Coturnix japonica: one gene and its partner. The protein of the gene in region 1 purifies or fractionates together with the protein of each later gene. This does not show direct contact. Links are inferred from orthologs where the notes say so. Each region holds a gene or a part of one and is shown in the gene's direction. Other genes may lie near its edges. The genes, in order: cyclin-dependent kinases regulatory subunit 1 and CCNA2.

Region 1 (4,149 bases):
GACCCATTGACACGGAGATCCATGGGACCAATTGACACAGAGATCCATGGGACCCATTGACACGGAGATCCATGGGACCCACTGACATGGAGATCCATGGGACCCACTGACATGGAGATCCATGGGACCCACTGACATGGAGATCCATTGGGACCCACTGACATGGAGATCCATGGGGACCCATTGACACAGAGATCCATGGGACCCATTGACACAGAGATCCATGGGACCCATTGACACGGAGATCCATGGCACCCATTGACATGGAGATCCATGGGACACCCATTGACATGGAGATCCATGGGACCCCACTGACATAGAGATCCATGGCACCCATTGACATAGAGATCCATGGCACCCATTGACACGGAGATCCATGGGACCCATTGACACGGAGATCCATGGGACACCCATTGACATGGAGATCCATGGGACCCATTGACATAGAGATCCATGGGACACCCATTCACATAGAGATCCATGTGACCCATTGACACAGAGATCCATGGGATCCATTGACATAGAGATCCATGGGATCTATTGACATAGAGATCCATGGGACCCATTGACATGGAGATCCATTGGGACCCATTGACATGGAGATCCATTGACATAGAGATCCATGGGACCCATTGACATAGAGACCCAGGAACAGCCCATGACGGACAGACATCCATCTGACAGACATCCATTGAAGCCTCAAAGCCGGTGTTTACCCACGGTAACCGGTTCTTTACCCCACTCGGTGCCGGTCCATCTCCGTTATGAGCTCCCCAATTACTATTAGCATTACTAATAGCCCCGGTTACCGGCAGCGGTGACACACACACCTATAACAACACTGGGAGCTCCGGGACTCCCGAACAGCATAGAGGCGATCAGCGGCTCCCCCACAAGCACCGGCAACGCTGTGACCCGTTAATACCCGTTAATATACCCGGTAATACCCGGTAATACCCGGTAATACCCGGTAATACACCCGGTAATACCGGGACCGGACATCCCGGAAGCGCCGTTTCCCATCTCATAACACATAACCCCCGCCATGTTCGGGTTCAACCCAACAACACCGGAAGCTCCACACGACCTCAAGTTGCGGCCTACCCCCACAAACCGGGGCCTACGGAACCACCGGGAACCCCCTAAAGGCCCGGACCGCTCCCACAGGCCCTACAGGCCTCATTACAGCCCCATATGAGGCCCACCCGACCTAAGATGACCCACATGCTCACCGGGGCACCATGGGTCTCACGCCGGTCTCCTCCGGTCCCGGCGGCCTCAGCTCCCAGCACCGAGCGCCCCTCCCCCCGCCACGCCGCCACTCACTTCCGGTCCACGCCCCCCGTCACGTGACGCAAGAACCCTAAAGGAGAATGGGGGGGGGTTGGTGAAAGGGCGTGTCTCTTAGAGCAATCAACCAATCAGCGCGCGAATCGTTAAGCCCGCCTTCTGGGAGCTGACCAATGAGAGCGCGGGGCGGCGGCGTTTGAAAGCACCGTTGAGGGGAACCGGAAGTGGAGGTGGGGGAGGGGGGAAGCAACGGCCGCCGTGGGGTTGAGGAGAGGGGGCGAGGTGGGGGCTGCCGGGAAAGGGGCGGACCGGGAACGGGCGGCAATGGCTCACAAGGAGATCTACTACTCCGACAAGTACTTTGACGAGCAATACGAGTACCGGTGAGGATGATGGGGGGGGGGAATGGGGTTGTTGTTTGATGGGGGGGGGGGTTTGGGTGGGGGGGGCACCGGGTTTGGGCCTAGGCCTGAGGGGGGGGGGGGGAATGGGCCTAGGCCTGAGGGGGGGGGGGGGGGAGCTGGGTCTAGGCCTGAAGAGGGAGGGGGGGCTCCGGGTCTAGGCCTGATGGGGGGGGGGGCACCGGGTTTGGGCCTAGGCCTGAGGTGGGGGGGGGGTAATGGGCCTGGGCCTGATGGGGGGGCACCGGGTTTGGGCCTGAGTGGGGTGGGGGGCACTAGGTCTAGGCCTGAAGGAGGGGGGGGCAAGGGGAGGGAGGGGAGGGAGGGGGGGGTTCCGGGTCTGGGGCCTGATGGTGGGGGGGGGGGAATAGGTTTTGGCCTGGGCCTGATGTGGGGGGGGGGGGGGGGGCACTGGGTCTAGACCTGAAGGGGGAGGGGAGGCGCCGGGTCTAAGCCGAGGGGGGGAGGGAAAGAAGGGAGGGGAGCTCCGGGTTTGGGCCTGATGGGGGCACCGGGTTTGGGTCTGACGGGGGGAGATAGGGTTTGGGCCTGAAGGGGTTGGGGGTAATGGCCTAGGCCTGATGCGGGCTGGGGGGGCTCCGGGTTTGGGCCTAGGCTTGATCGTGGGGGGGGGGCATCGGGTCTGAGTCTGGACCTGAAGAGGGAGGGAAGGGGGACAAGGTTTGCTCCTGAATGGGGAGGGGGCTGCACTGGGTCTGAGCCCGAAGGGGGAGGAGTGTGGGGGGACAGGGACAAGGTCTGGGCGTGATGGGGGGGCACCGGGTCTGAGCCTAGGACTGAAGGGGGAGGGGGATGGGCAGGGGTTTGGGCCTGAGGGAAGAGGAGGGGGGCACCGGGTTTGGGCCCGAAGGGGGAGGGCTGGGCACTGGGTCTGGGCTGGTGGGTGTGGGGTGGGGGTGGGTAACGGGCCTGGGCCTGGACCTGGACCTGATTGGGGGTGGGGGGTAAGCATTGGGTCAGGGCCTGTGGGCGGAGCACTGTGTCACTGCCCCTGGCTGAGCAACCCCTGTGACCACAGGCACGTGATGCTGCCCAAAGACATCGCCAAGCTGGTGCCCAAAACCCACCTGATGTCCGAATCAGAGTGGAGGAACCTGGGTGTGCAGCAGAGCCAGGGCTGGGTGCACTACATGATCCACGAGCCAGGTGAGCCCCCGTATGGCCGCCCTATGAGCCCCCGTATGGCCGCCCTATGAGCCCCATATGGCTGCCCTATGAGCCCCCTATGGCTGCCCTATGAGCCCCCTATGGTTACCCTATGAGCCCCATATGGCTGCCCTATGAGCCCCCTATGGTTACCCTATGAGCCCCATATGGCTGCCCTATGGGACGTGGGCTCCATACCCACAGCCTGGCTTGAATCTGTTCTATATCCTATATCCCCACAGAACCACACATCCTCCTTTTCCGACGGCCGCTGCCTAAGAAGCCAGAGAAGTGAGCTCTCCCCGGGTCAGCCACAGCCCTCGGCTGCCTGGGCTACAAAGCACCTTCATCATCATCATCATCATCATCATCCTCCTCTTCTTCCTCTTCTCTTACATACTCTGCTCTCAGGAGCTTCCCTGTCGGGGGCAGAGCCACTGGGTGCCCCTGATGCTCATGAACTCAGTGCTATCTGGGCACCTGCAGCGGCTCAGCCCCAGGGCACAGCGCTGCGGGGATGGGGTTCTCAAAAGCTTCAATAAAAGGATATTTGGGAGCTGCTGTGTGCTGCAATTCTGCCTTTAAGGGGGGGTGGGAGGCAGGAGGAGCTCCTGGTGCATAGCAACAGCCCTTCCCTGGGTGGTTTTGGGGGCGTGCTATTCCCTCCCCCCCCCCCTCCGTTACCCACCGCCCTATGGACCCTCCCCAACTCCCCCCCCATGGACCTTCCCAACCCCCCCCCATGGACCCTCCCCAACCCCCCCCCCATGGACCCTCCCCACCCCCCCTCCCCCATGGACCCTCTCCAACAGCCTCCCCAAGGGCCCTTCCCAACCCCACCCCCCCCATAGGACCCTCCCCAACCCCCCACTCCCCCAATGGACCCTCCCCCCCGGACCCTCCCAGCCCCCCCCATGGACCTTCCCAACCCACCCTCCCCAGCCCCCCCATTGACCTCTTCCAACCCCACCCCCCCATGGACCCCCCACCTCCCCCCATGGACCCCCCCACCTCCCCCATGGACCCTCCCACCCCCCCCACGGACCCTCCCCAACCCCCCACCACCCCCCACGGACCCTCCCCAACCCCCCCCACCCCCCCCCACGGACCGCCTCCCAACCCCCCCACCCCCCCCCATGGACCCTCCCCAACCCCCACCCCCCCCATGGACCCCTCCCACCCCCCCCCATGGACCCTTCCCAACCCCCACCCCCCCCATGGACCCCTCCCACCCCCCTCCCCCCATGGACCCTTCCCAACCCCCCCCCCCCCGGTGCACAACGACCCAAAA
Region 2 (4,396 bases), on another chromosome or scaffold:
CTTGCTCGTTTAGAAGGGGTTTATCTCCCCTCTGAAGTGCTTCCTCCTGTTGAACCCAAGCTTAATTTCTTTCTACTTTTATGCTCTTAAGCTACTTAACCGCCTTTGATTTTTATGTTGTAAAATATCTTTGAGGAATTACAAGTTCAAGAAGGAAACGCGGACTTCTTGGTGCCAGAATACCGCAGTATTTTGGAAGAGGCAGATCAGCTGCTGGAGGAATACAAGAAACAACCTGCACATCTCGAGAGACTTTACGGTTTGTTGATCAATTAAACTTCTTGTCCTAACTGCAAATTAACGCTCAGAGAGCGCAACCTGGATGCTGCTGAAGTAGTTATGAGGTCAGCACTAGTAGAGCTGAGATGATTTGATAGGCTGATACACCTCAGTAGCTTTTTACATCTGTACGTTAAGCTTGTCTTTTTTGGCAAGACTGAGGGCTGTGAGTTGGGGTGGAGCTTAAGAATGTATGTATACCTGACTGATGGAGTTCCCAGCATTGAGGTGTTACAAAATAATAGACAAATGCACATGGGGTGGAAGGGGAGGATCTTAGGAGAGGAACTAATTGAGTGAAGGAAAGTCTGTAACCTTCTGTAGAGCTCCCTGTTCAGCTTTCAGCTCAGGGGCTCCCTGTCCTCACATACAGGGCCTGCTCTGTGAGGTCAGCTCCTTCCTCCATTCAGAGACAGGCACGTGTGAGGCAGAAATAACCACGTGGAAATTAAGCTGGTTGCTGGTCGTACTGACAACAGACATTTGACTTTTGCAGGTATGATCACTGATCTCTTCATCGATAAGTTTAAATTTCGAGGCACCAACGTGAAGAGCAAAGTTCCTCTGCTGCTGGAGCTGCTGGATGGCTGCGAGCAGGACCGGCTGCTCGCCTTCTTTGAGGCCGCGTCCTGAGCGGGACAGGACGGGCAGTGTGTGCAGTGTGTGTGTGCAGAGTGTGCTGCCTATTGCCAGGGGAGGGCAGTAGGCACTGGAGTTCATATATATATATATATTAGAATGGACACTCCATATATATAGAGTGCTGCACACAGCAATCTTCACACCTCCACTGAATATACACAGACAGCTGTATCCACCGGCCTTTTTCCTGTACTTTCAGTACAGTTAGAGACGATGCAGAGGGTAGGAATGTAAGAGCGATGTTTGTAAAGTACGTTTAGGATCCTGTACCTGAAGCTGCGAGTTTGTAATTAAAGCTAATTAAAGTTCTAATCCCAGCTGTGGTGTGGTGCGCTGCGCCTGCGCGGTCACCGGGCGGGGCGGGGCCAAGCGGCGCGCGGTGTGCGCTGCGCATGCGCGTTGCGGCGCTCCGGTCCCGCCCCCCGCGCGGCTGGTGCCCGCGTGACGCCTGGCCGCTGATTGGGCGATTCAATAGTCGCGGGCTGCTCGAACGGCGGCAGCGGCTCCGGGCCGCGAGACTGCGCGGCGGCGGGACGCCGGCTCACACCCGCACACACCCGCACATCCGCGCTCCGCGGCCGCCCCCGGCCCTTTCCCCCTCGGCCGCTTCTCCCCCCCCCCGGCGGGCACCATGCTGGCGGAGCAGGAGAACCAGGAGAACGTCCCCCCGCCCGCCAAAGCCCCGCCGCCCGCCGCCGGTACCCGCGTGGCGCTGGGGCTGCTGCGGGGCGGCCCGGCGCGGCCGGGGCTCGGGCTCGGTGCGCAGGTGAGCGGCGGGGCTTTGGCGGGGGGCGGCGGGCGGGCGCCATGTTGGGGCGTTGTGCAGCTGTCAGGGCGGCTGTCACGGCGCTGACCGAGCGCTCCCGCAGGCGGCGCGGAACGGAGAGGGCCGAGGCGCGGCGGCGGGGCGGCATCAGCCCTTCAGCGTCTACGTGGACGAGCCCGACGAGGAGCCGCGGCGGCCTCAGAGGAAGAAGGAGCGGGATGAGGAGGCGGCGGACGCGCCGGGGCTGCGGGCCGCCCTCGGGACCTTGGGGGAGCGGCGGCCCCTGGCGCCCCTGGGCAACGCCATGGAGCTCAGCCTCGGTAAGCGGCGGCACTGCCCCCTCCGCGCCCGGGGCGAGCGCCCGGCCCGCGCGATGTGGTGCCGGCGGCGGGACGCGGCCTGAGGCTGAGGAACGGGGCTGGAGCGCGGGGCTCGGCTGGAGGGAAGGGGGGAGTGTGTTGGGCAGCCGGGAAAGGGCTTCCCGGCCCTTCCTTAGTGGGGACAGCGGGGCGCTTCCTCCTTGAGCCATGGTTCGGCTTCCCCAGGGCCTGCTTGGCCCCCCTGCGTGGCCTCCCGCCGGCCAACAGCATCGCGCCTGCTGCACGGGGTTCTGCCGGGCCCCTTCTAACGAGGCCTTTCTCCTAGACTCCCCGAGTATCATGGATATCTCCATAACTTCAGAAGCAGAAGAGCGACCAAACGTTAACAATGTGCCAGACTATGTCAGCGATATCCACAAGTACCTTAGGGAAATGGAGGTGAGATGCCACCCGTTCTCTTGCTCGCATATTTGGGCTGAGTGTATCTGAGGATAAGTTACTGCCACAGTGACTGAAGTAAAGCTAGGAGTAAGTCCCCCTGCTTCCTGCTGGGAGGTTGGCTGCGCTCTGCACTGAGCACAAGCCACAAAGCACATGATGCAGATGTAACTTTCTGAGTCCAGATTGACCATTGCTTATTGTGACCTGTTAAAAACAGTCTGGGTATGGTAAATGGGAGTATGAGTGACTGCTTCCCTGCAGGCACCCAATCCAAACTCAGTCTTGTCTGTCATCTGAACCCACAGGTAAAATGCAAGCCTAAAATAGGCTACATGAAGAAGCAGCCTGACATCACCAACAACATGCGAGCTATTCTGGTGGACTGGCTGGTGGAAGTTGGAGAAGAGTACAAGCTCCAGAATGAAACTCTGCACTTAGCTGTAAATTACATTGACAGGTTTCTTTCTTCAATGTCTGTTTTGAGAGGAAAGCTCCAGCTTGTGGGTACTGCGGCTATGCTGCTCGCATCGTAAGTAAAAGTTCTTGATGGAAAATAACACCTACTGGTTTCATAGTGATGGAAGTCTTGTAGCTTTCATATGATAGCCTGTAATCATATTGTTTAGTAAGGGCTTTGTAATAGGTTGAAATATACAAAAGCTTGGCAGCCCATGTGAAGCCTTGCAAGTGAGATTCCAGGTTGTCTTTGTAGATTGGCCTAATGGGAGGATTTCCAGATGTAGGAGTGAAAGGCTTCACAAGGGAATTAAGGCAATAGTAAGAAAGAGTATGAAAAAGCTATTTAGTTTTCTTCTGGAATTTCAGTAACTCTTAAGTTCTAAATTACTTAGTCCCAAAATAACAGGCTGTTGAAACTCTTTAACTTCAAATTCAGGTGATTTGAGACCTATCAACCTGAGTGCAGCAAGCTTGCTCAGTCACTGTATCCAGCTACTTTGGAAGTCAGCACACAGTTCAGCACACTGGTTTTAATGAAGTGTTGCTGGTGGCCTGGTTCTCTAGTCCCTAACTGTTTGCTTCTGTTTCTCATGGCAGGAAGTTTGAGGAAATCTACCCCCCTGAAGTAGCAGAGTTTGTCTACATCACGGATGACACCTACAACAAGAAGCAAGTTCTGAGGATGGAGCACTTAATTTTGAAGGTTTTGTCATTTGATTTGGCAGCTCCAACGATCAACCAGTTCCTCACTCAGTATTTCCTGCACCAGCAGACGAACGCTAAAGTTGAGAGCTTATCAATGGTAAGGATTACTAGCTCAGTCTGTGGAACTGTAGAGTTCTGTTGTTAATGCATTTTACAAGAGCTGTTGTATGGGAAATTGGTAATCACAGCCTGAACCTCTGGTTAATCAGCTGAGGCAAGTGTTGGGGCAGCTGTGGGAGCACAGGTGAGAGTAATTTAGCTGTGCTCCAGGAAGGGATGGAGCTTGACTCCACCTTCTCTAGACCTCATTTAAGGGCTGACCATCACTAGGGCAGCATCTCTTGGAGATTGCTCCTTGGTGGAGATTGCTCCTTGGTGGAGATTGCCTCAGCATTTCCCAGTGAAGGCATCCATATCAGTGAGTTTTTCCTCATAAATAACCTTTTGAATGTTACCATCTTTGTATCATTCCACCTTACAGCTGTATTTGTACAGACCAGTGGTAAAGGGCTTTTTAGAGTGGACTTTTCCACCTCCTAATATGTTCAAGTGTGTGATCTCTCTGGGACACATCTGAGAAGTGCTCATGATGTGCCTCTGGCTCCTCCAGAAGCAGATCTGTACTGCTGGAAGCAATAGTGTCATTGCTGCTCTTTGAGACATTCCATTACTGTTACAGTCTGGTACTTGGCCTGGCTCCACATGAATGCTTACTCAAAGCAGGCCAAGACTGCTGCATTTTAGTTTGGGGTTTGTTTCCCTGTTAGGTATTCCCTGTGTTCCT

Evidence for each region.
Region 2: the proteins of cyclin-dependent kinases regulatory subunit 1 (region 1) and CCNA2 purify together in Homo sapiens (affinity purification with western blotting; 7 studies listed by BioGRID and IntAct, counting the BioPlex papers as one, with this or other methods). This does not show direct contact. The link is inferred for Coturnix japonica from reciprocal best matches to the Homo sapiens genes CKS1B and CCNA2.

The regions. Positions count from the first base shown.
Region 1 is NC_029540.1:1,427,739-1,431,887, reverse strand, and holds cyclin-dependent kinases regulatory subunit 1, read left to right. Parts: upstream 1-1,552; 5' UTR 1,553-1,614; coding exon 1,615-1,673; intron 1,674-2,730; coding exon 2,731-2,858; intron 2,859-3,100; coding exon 3,101-3,153; 3' UTR 3,154-3,414; downstream 3,415-4,149.
Region 2 is NC_029519.1:48,271,936-48,276,331, forward strand, and holds the start of CCNA2 (cyclin-A2), read left to right. Parts: upstream 1-1,537; 5' UTR 1,538-1,552; coding exon 1,553-1,687; intron 1,688-1,790; coding exon 1,791-2,007; intron 2,008-2,332; coding exon 2,333-2,445; intron 2,446-2,753; coding exon 2,754-2,977; intron 2,978-3,504; coding exon 3,505-3,709; intron 3,710-4,396. Other genes in the region: BBS7 (Bardet-Biedl syndrome 7 protein), read left to right, coding at 136-259, 776-912. UniProt on the Homo sapiens protein: Cyclin which controls both the G1/S and the G2/M transition phases of the cell cycle. Functions through the formation of specific serine/threonine protein kinase holoenzyme complexes with the cyclin-dependent protein kinases CDK1 or CDK2.